Saccharomyces cerevisiae S288C: one gene and its partners. Each later gene encodes a partner of the first gene's protein in a complex. Each region holds a gene or a part of one and is shown on either strand. Other genes may lie near its edges.

Region 1 (2,857 bases):
GAGCCTTTTCCAGCGGCGTTTCTGTTCTTTATGCAATACCCTTAAACTTTCTTGAGCGGATTTAAAAGAATTCTTGAGAAATAGGTGTAACTTTATTCTTCCTCCGTTTATTTTGTTAATTCTCTTGTGCCAACCGTCTTTCATTCGAGCTTTTGTTGTATACCATAAAATAACTAAGTCTGTTTTGTATCGTCTCCAGCCCATTAGGTCATCATCCTTTAATGGGTATGCAATATGATTGTCGAAGTCGACGTAGTATTTTCCTGAAGGAGCCCACTGACTTAAAGAGTCACTTGATGAATCGTAAGATTTTTTATCAACAAAATCGATATTGCCGTACAACAGCTTCCTTTCATTATTACGTAATGACTGTTGTGATTTAAAACCTGCCAACACATCACCAGTCAGGGAATATTCGAGGGCGAGGTATGAAAAGGTCATGGAAAGCAATGAAGATAGCATGATAACATGCCACATCTTCAATTTAGCAGATTTACCCTCACTTTTATCTATGATATGATCCGATAGTGTGCTAGAATTCCTTATCGTACTATCCTTCAGTTTCGACCCCTCCATACTTGGCAATACCGTTCCGCCAACATTTGAGCCGGACAAAGTATCAAATGACTCTGAAATAGTGGGAACTCCAGTTTGATCAATATTAACTCCAGCATTACTAAATTCATTAGATGTTCTAAAATCGTAAATACGATTCATCTGTGCAGACTCTTCACTGCTAGTGTTCGATAGGACATCTGCATCGAAGTCCTCGTCGTCCTCTCCTGCAAAGGAGCTTTCATGCAAACTATCCAAAGATATTTCTGACTTCGATGACTGTTCTTCCCCTTCTCTCCCTTTACGTAATCTACGTAATCTAACTAAATTCCAATGATCGTCTTCTTCTGACATTTTAGGTCCGACAACTCGACTGTTTTACTAGTCTCTATTATCGTCACTGCGTATTACTCTGCTACTGTGCTTGTTACTTTATACCGGAACAGTAGCTCCTAAACGATTATTCCAAATGAAGAAAAACGTTTGGCCAGTAACCTGCATAAAACTGAATAACTATAATGATACTCCGACTAATAATATATCCCAATGCCCCATCTCATCTGTGTAGATCAATTTTTATGGCTCGATCCAGGTACCTTGATAAGCAGCTGTCGCGCAAAGGGGTTACCGCAAAATGGATAGATGGACCGGGGGCACACCGGGGTAGGGGGTCCGGAGGGTTAACTGTCAACTCCACCCATACAAGACCGCGCAGAAATCGTCGCAGGACCCCGCCGAACGGCGAAAGCAAATATGCAGCCGTAAAGACCTAACAATAAACCTAATGTAGTCATAGGGCTAATTGATTTTAAATATATGACCTAGCTGACTATTCAAGTTTGCCCTAATTGATGAGTTTTTGAAAAAAAAAACAACTTAGGTTTCGCTATCCAAGCTTATGCTATGGGAAGCGTTGGAAAACTTGCATATAGTATGAACAAGAGCGAGATATAAAACTATAACGGTAGATGGAAAGTAAAGAGTAGACAAGCTCGGAAACATGGAAAATAGCATGATGTTTATATCGCGTTCCTTGCGGAGACCCGTTACTGCTTTGAACTGCAATTTACAAAGCGTTAGAACAGTCATATACCTTCATAAGGGTCCGAGAATTAATGGTTTGAGACGAGATCCAGAGTCGTACTTGAGAAATCCTAGCGGGGTACTCTTTACTGAAGTTAACGCAAAAGAGTGTCAAGACAAAGTTAGATCCATACTACAATTGCCCAAGTACGGAATAAATTTATCAAACGAACTGATTTTGCAGTGTTTAACACATAAGTCGTTCGCACACGGGTCAAAGCCATACAACGAAAAACTGAATCTGCTAGGAGCACAGTTTTTGAAACTACAGACGTGCATTCATTCGTTAAAGAATGGTTCGCCGGCCGAGAGTTGCGAGAACGGGCAACTTTCTTTGCAGTTCAGCAATCTGGGAACAAAATTCGCTAAGGAATTAACGTCCAAAAACACAGCATGCACATTCGTTAAATTACATAATCTAGACCCTTTCATATTTTGGAAGATGAGAGACCCAATAAAAGATGGCCACATAAATGGTGAAACCACGATTTTTGCTAGTGTCTTGAACGCATTTATTGGTGCAATTCTGTCAACGAATGGATCTGAAAAAGCAGCTAAATTTATCCAAGGAAGTTTGCTGGATAAAGAAGATCTTCATTCCTTGGTTAACATTGCTAATGAAAATGTAGCATCTGCAAAGGCAAAAATATCCGACAAGGAAAATAAAGCATTTCTGTGAAGATACAAAAAATATAGTTGATGGTTCACTGGCCAAAAATGTATAAAAGAAAAATTTATCTGTAAATAGTGATCGAAATAAAATAAGATAATAACTAAAGAATATATATGACTTTACTGTACAGATCTATAATTGAAAAATGACGAGAGGTCCTGTGAAAGAGTCTGCCTGTTCGCCATCTTCACACATTCAACCAATTCCCTGGTGCGCTTGGTTACTTCCATCAGGATATCTGCTAATTTTTGATAGAATCGTTTCTTCCCAAGCTTTGTGGAATCGCATCCATAAGTACACAATTCCGATAACTTTTGCGAGCAATCTGTGAGCCTTTCAATAATTTCTTTACAGTGCTCGCCTAAATCCAGTTTAAAACTTTTTTGGACCATTGCTTTGGTAGTCATATCAATCACCGATTCCAAAATAGGAATAATCTCGATGGAATTTTGACATAATCTCGAAACTGATCTTGCGGACTTGAACAATTTTGATTTAGAGGCTTGAACATCATTCAAAATGCCCTGCCTGCCATAGGAAGAACAA
Region 2 (3,206 bases), on another chromosome or scaffold:
GGTTTCCTGTTTAGAAGAAAACTTCCTTTGCAAAAACTCGCTTAGCCACATCGAAATCGGAGCAATATTTACTTTGAAACATTGTAATGTCGTTTCCAGGTGATCGGGAGTATTCTTTATGGTGTAAATATGAAGCGCATAACTGATAGAGCTCAACACTTTTAGAATTATATGGATTTCAATATTCTCCAACTTTCCAAAATTTTCACTTTCGATTACTTCGGCTAAATATTGCAATTGAGAGGAAAGAGCCGCCAAATGTGGTTGTGCAAATGGCTCATATATTTGGTAAAATTTCTTTAGCAATTTATTTTGATATAATTCCTCCTGTAAAGTGTTCACTTTTAGTTCAAGACTTTGAAATTTGTGAGATGTTTTGGCTTCAATAGATTCCAATGTTGCTTTTAATCTTGAATTTTCTTCGATATATGTGCCTGCTATCTCCTTTTCATTTTCCAATGCAGATTGCAAATTACTTAATTGCAGTCTCAGTTCTTGCTCGAGTTGCTCATAGGTAATTCTTAAATTTTCATCCAATTTTTCTTTTGCCTGTAGTTCCTCCAACTCATTGTTTAAAGCCTTTATATTACTTGTGAGTAGGATATTATCATTAGTCAATTTATCAACAATATTAGATGATTTACTTTGAGCTTCAATCTGCAAGGCAAGGTCGCCGATTGTATTATTAGTCTGTTGCAATTGCAGACCTAAATCCGATATTTTTTTAGATAATACTGCATTTTCTTCTAATAACTGAGTATTCTCCTCGAGCAGGTCCTCTTGCACCTTCATAGCTTTATCATATGACAACTTTGTTTGGTCGAGTAGTCCCTGAAGAAGATGGCTCCTTTCTAACAGTGTGCCTTTGTCGAGATCCGGTGCCATTACACTATCTGAAGCATCTAATAGGTGATTGAAATTATCCAAATGAGTTTTCATATTACCATTTTCCACTTTCAGTTCTTTGACTAGTTTATCCAATCTTGAGATTTTAGACAATAGAACAGTTTCATTAGTACTCAGCTTTTCAACGGAAGTTTTCAGCTCATGATTTTCTATTTTAATTTTATTTAATTTGGACGCCAATGATTCACATTTTACTTGTAGATTCTTAATTGTTTCTTGCGCTGCATTACCATTTAGCAAACTATGCTCATCGTCATCTGGTTTATAAAACTGCAACGTATCTTTCTTGCAGAAAAGACCATAATAACCACCATTTGAATTAGCTTTCTTCAGGTCGATATCAAAGTAACGAATACCGTTAGCGCTTCCATCATTCTTTCCTAACGGTTTATCTAGTTCAATGCCGTACCATATGCCTTTTGCAAATTGAGTTTCCCCAATGAATTTCACCCGCCCCTTCATCTCGTTGACTAGAACTGTGTCCTGTAAGCTTATCTTCTGCATATTTGTGTCAACTTGAACACCTGCATTGCGCATTTGTCCAAGGCTGTACTGCGAGGTTGATGGAGATCGAATCTAGAATAGTATTATGTACTTTGCAAAAGTAAAGTACAACATAAAGTCTAGCAGCATATGAGTAACTCTCTACAGTTACGCCAACAATCTCAGTGTGGAGGTTAGAGTAAAAAGAAAGCACCTTACAACTGTACGTTTACATAAGTGACTTTTCAACATATATGCATTTTTTGTTAAGCATTGTAAAATACCCGGTTGAAAAGCGACATGAAAAATAACGACATGTTAGATTCAAAAGTACCTACTGCTCTTTAACAGCTACTTAAGGATTACCTGATAAGAGTAATCCACCGTAAAGAACATTATCAGCAACAAAATTTGTAATCCATCATGTCTGGAAGCTATCAACATTTATCAAACGTTGGATCGCGTGTTATGAAAAGATTGGGGAATCGACCCAAAAACTTTCTTCCTCATAGTGAAAAGTTCATTAAAAAATCTACGCCTGAGTTCATGAAGTCAGATTTAAAGGAAGTAGATGAGAAAACTAGTTTCAAGAGTGAAAAAGAATGGAAGTTTATACCTGGCGACAGAGTAGTAGTAATGAGCGGGGCTTCCAAAGGAAATATAGCTGTAATTAAATCTTTCGATAAAAGAACAAATTCATTCATATTAGATGAGAATGGGCCCACAAAGACTGTTCCAGTTCCTAAACAATTCTGGCTTGAAGGCCAAACATCTCACATGATAACAATTCCAGTTTCAATTTTGGGAAAGGATTTAAGGCTAGTTGCTGATATTGACGATGAAAAGACCCCAGGAAAGACAAGAACGGTGGCAGTAAGGGATGTTTCCTTCAATGGTTCCTACTATGATGCAGACTACAAAAAGGTAATGCCATATAGATGCGTAAAGGGTCAACCAGACTTGATCATTCCATGGCCTAAACCAGACCCAATTGATGTGCAAACGAACTTGGCTACCGATCCTGTAATTGCTAGAGAACAAACATTTTGGGTCGATTCCGTAGTGAGAAACCCTATTCCAAAAAAGGCAATACCAAGTATTCGCAATCCTCATTCTAAGTACAAAAGGGGTACCTTGACAGCGAAAGATATAGCTAAGCTAGTAGCACCTGAGATGCCCCTAACAGAGGTAAGAAAAAGCCATTTGGCAGAAAAAAAGGAGTTGGCTGAGAGAGAAGTACCAAAACTAACTGAAGAGGACATGGAAGCTATTGGGGCGAGGGTTTTTGAATTTTTGGAAAAACAAAAAAGAGAATAAATGTACCAAGTGTATGCACTCTATTTTTATATTTGATTCTCTAGTGTGATTTTTTTAATCAGTATATCCCCTTCACTATTCACGTAGTAAATAAGTTATATTCGACCTGTATATATGAAAGCATAAAGTAAAGTTCAAAGAATATTCAGATATTGATGTGGGCAAACGTGATGACTTCAAATTACAAAATCTTTTCTTTAAAAATAAATTATGTGCGTATGTACATTATTTTTAACCAATAAAAGGGTTTAAATATTTATTTACAAGATTAATGACTGCCCTTTAAGCGTTGTCTCTTTATCTCATTGTACTAATGCTAAAATCGTTCCTGTGGTCGCTTTGCTTCACCAGGATATATCCAATCCCAGCGGCCTTTTTTATGTATAATGGCTAGGATTAGAATTGCCGGTAGGTGCAATACACTAGCCATAAAAGTTTTCCTTGCATAAATGTTGGCTACACTTAGACCTTTATTAAACTTGACGTTATCTTTTAATGTT
Region 3 (2,756 bases), on another chromosome or scaffold:
CTTTGTTGTTGACAGAATTAAAGGAATACGCAATGGAATATGAACCTGAGTTTGTTTCAAGAGCTATTCAAGCTTTGTCCCAGTTGGGTATTAAATATGCACAAGAATCATTCGTCAGTAAAGTCTTGGATATTCTCCTAGAATTGTTAGAAAGACAAGACACAATAAAAGACGACTGCTGTATATCATTATGTGATTTATTAAGACATTGCCCCGGAAACGATAAGATGGCCAAACAAGTTTGTGCAGTATTTAATACTTGGTCAAATCCAGAGGTGTTATTACAATCAGATATTGCGAAGTGCAACTATGTCTGGTTGCTAGGACAGCATCCCAACAATTTCTCAGATTTGGAGTCAAAAATCAATATTTTTATAGAGAACTTTGTTCAAGAGGAAGCTTTAACACAGATGTCTTTACTAATGACAATAGTCAGACTACATGCTACTTTAACGGGTAGTATGCTACAAAGCGTCCTAGAATTGGCCACACAACAGACACATGAATTAGATGTGCGAGATATGGCTATGATGTATTGGAGATGCCTTTCGATGCCAAATAATGAAAGTTTGGTTAATGATCTATGTCAAAATAAACTTCCAATGATCTCCAATACACTGGAGAAGTTTTCACCAGAAGTGCTAGAGAAACTATTAATGGAATTGGGTACTATAAGTTCCATTTATTTCAAGCCCGACTCAAATAGGAGAAAAGGCAAAAAGTATGTTCAAAATATAGTTAAAGGAAAACATATAGAGGAATTAGAAAGCATGGCAAAAAATGAAATTTCTAGCAAGGCTAACGATGATGTGCTATTGGATTTTGATGAAAGAGATGATGTAACAAATACAAATGCAGGAATGCTGAATACTTTAACAACTTTAGGCGATTTGGATGATTTATTTGATTTCGGACCATCTGAGGATGCCACACAAATAAATACAAATGATACCAAGGCTGTACAAGGGTTGAAGGAGCTGAAACTAGGTGGCGACTCAAACGGTATATCTTCTGGTGGTAAAAACAATCCCGATGTTTCGGGCGGCAATATAGTGTCACAGGATCTCCTCGATTTATTCTGACTATAAACGTCCGTTGTAGTGAACTTAAGTATTATACCATACATATATACCCTTCGTATTAATTTTTCCTTTTTATTGTTGGGCTGTGTGTATATAATTTATGTACAAGAATGGATATATCAAAAAATCCTTAAAAGATGTAAATCAAAAACATCAATCAACACAGCTTATTTTGTAGAGCTTTGTTTTTGACATAACTTTTCAAGCTTGTTGATTTTTTCTAAAACAATTTTATCCCTTTCACCATCTAAATATTTCTCATCTGTTTGATAAAACAGGAGGCACGATTTCATTTCATCTCGTTGCTTATCACAAGTGGGAAAAACTTTCATTCCATTTGCCTTAGCACAATCTGCCATTGCTTGAACAAAATTTGCACATTTTTTGTATGTTTCCGTCTTCAAGTTCTTGCGAGCCTGTTGTTCTTCGCGAGGACTTAGCACCCATATAGGTAGCCTAGAACTATGTTTCGAGATCATCTGCGGATCTTTGTTTTGCTCCATCTTATCAAATATATGAAAGTTGTTCCAGATAACTTGAAGATATTCGACTTTTGTATCTCTGGCTTTAATTATGGTTAAATCTTCCTAAACTATCATAGGTATAAATACAGGGCACTCCGTTTTCAACTTTATAATCGGAGAAGTACAAGAGCATTCAAAAAGTTCAAGAGAACGGTATAACAAAAGGACAAAGGGAAGCCAAAGAGGGAAAAAAGATATCCGTACTTTGTAGGAAGGAGACGTATTTAAAAGGCTACCCAAGTTATAAGACTCCAATGTTTGGCCCATTCAAATTAACAAGCCCCGTCGCTGGTGGCCTACTATGGAAAATTCCATGGAGAATGTCCACACATCAAAAAACCCGTCAAAGGGAAAGATTAAGAAACGTTGATCAAGTCATAAAGCAATTAACTTTAGGTCTCCACGTCCAAAGATGTCAGGATAAAGGTCTTACTTATCAAGAAGCCATGGAGAGCAAAAAGAAATACAAGCCAAGAAGTAAATCGTTAAGGTTGTTAAACAAACCATCAGTCTTTCCAAAGGAGAATCAAATGTCTTCTAAAGATAAATATTGGACTTTTGATAAAAAAGCTGTTGGTTATAGGAAGGGTATTCATAAGGTGCCCAAGTGGACGAAGATTTCCATTAGAAAGGCCCCAAAATTCTTTTGAATGATACGTAAAAGATCGTTTTATTGATATAAAAATTTCATCTGTATATAGTTTAATCATTGAATAACTTGTTTATAGATCCATGTTTGAAAGTAACACTCCTAAGAAGGCTTTGATGTTTTGTATTGCTCATATTATATCATGCCCATTGAAATCAACGTTATTTTTTTGTAAAGGTGGGAAGAAAGATCAACAAGATAAATGGCGAAATAGAACATATCAGAACATTTGAACTTCAAAACGAAGAGGACACAAAGAATTTCAGGCAAGAGAATGAACGCTAACAAACAAAGGCAGTATAATCAGCTTGCACACGAACTTAGAGAGCTTCAAACGAATTTACAGGAAACGACAAAACAACTAGATATCATGTCGAAACAATGTAACGAAAACTTGGTAGGCCAATTGGGTAAGGTACATGGAAGTTGGTTGATAGGTAGTTACATTTATTATATGGAGCAGATGCTTGGAAAAACGCAATAAGGCATAAGAGGTAAGAC

What was found.
Region 2: MRPL15 (region 1) and MRPL40 share a complex: the UniProt entries of both Saccharomyces cerevisiae proteins name them as parts of the mitochondrial large ribosomal subunit.
Region 3: MRPL15 (region 1) and MRPL31 share a complex: the UniProt entries of both Saccharomyces cerevisiae proteins name them as parts of the mitochondrial large ribosomal subunit.

Annotation. Positions count from the first base shown.
Region 1 is NC_001144.5:757,925-760,781, forward strand, and holds MRPL15 (mitochondrial 54S ribosomal protein mL57 MRPL15), read left to right. Parts: upstream 1-1,555; coding exon 1,556-2,317; downstream 2,318-2,857. Other genes in the region: ATG39 (Atg39p), read right to left, coding at 1-909; SPH1 (Sph1p), read right to left, coding at 2,826-2,857. UniProt on the Saccharomyces cerevisiae protein: Component of the mitochondrial ribosome (mitoribosome), a dedicated translation machinery responsible for the synthesis of mitochondrial genome-encoded proteins, including at least some of the essential transmembrane subunits of the mitochondrial respiratory chain.
Region 2 is NC_001148.4:221,331-224,536, forward strand, and holds MRPL40 (mitochondrial 54S ribosomal protein uL24m MRPL40), read left to right. Parts: upstream 1-1,812; coding exon 1,813-2,706; downstream 2,707-3,206. Other genes in the region: NIP100 (Nip100p), read right to left, coding at 1-1,443; COX10 (protoheme IX farnesyltransferase), read right to left, coding at 3,023-3,206. UniProt on the Saccharomyces cerevisiae protein: Component of the mitochondrial ribosome (mitoribosome), a dedicated translation machinery responsible for the synthesis of mitochondrial genome-encoded proteins, including at least some of the essential transmembrane subunits of the mitochondrial respiratory chain.
Region 3 is NC_001143.9:184,786-187,541, reverse strand, and holds MRPL31 (mitochondrial 54S ribosomal protein mL60 MRPL31), read left to right. Parts: upstream 1-1,860; coding exon 1,861-2,256; downstream 2,257-2,756. Other genes in the region: APL2 (Apl2p), read left to right, coding at 1-1,082; CMC1 (Cmc1p), read right to left, coding at 1,250-1,585; HSK3 (Hsk3p), read left to right, coding at 2,530-2,739. UniProt on the Saccharomyces cerevisiae protein: Component of the mitochondrial ribosome (mitoribosome), a dedicated translation machinery responsible for the synthesis of mitochondrial genome-encoded proteins, including at least some of the essential transmembrane subunits of the mitochondrial respiratory chain.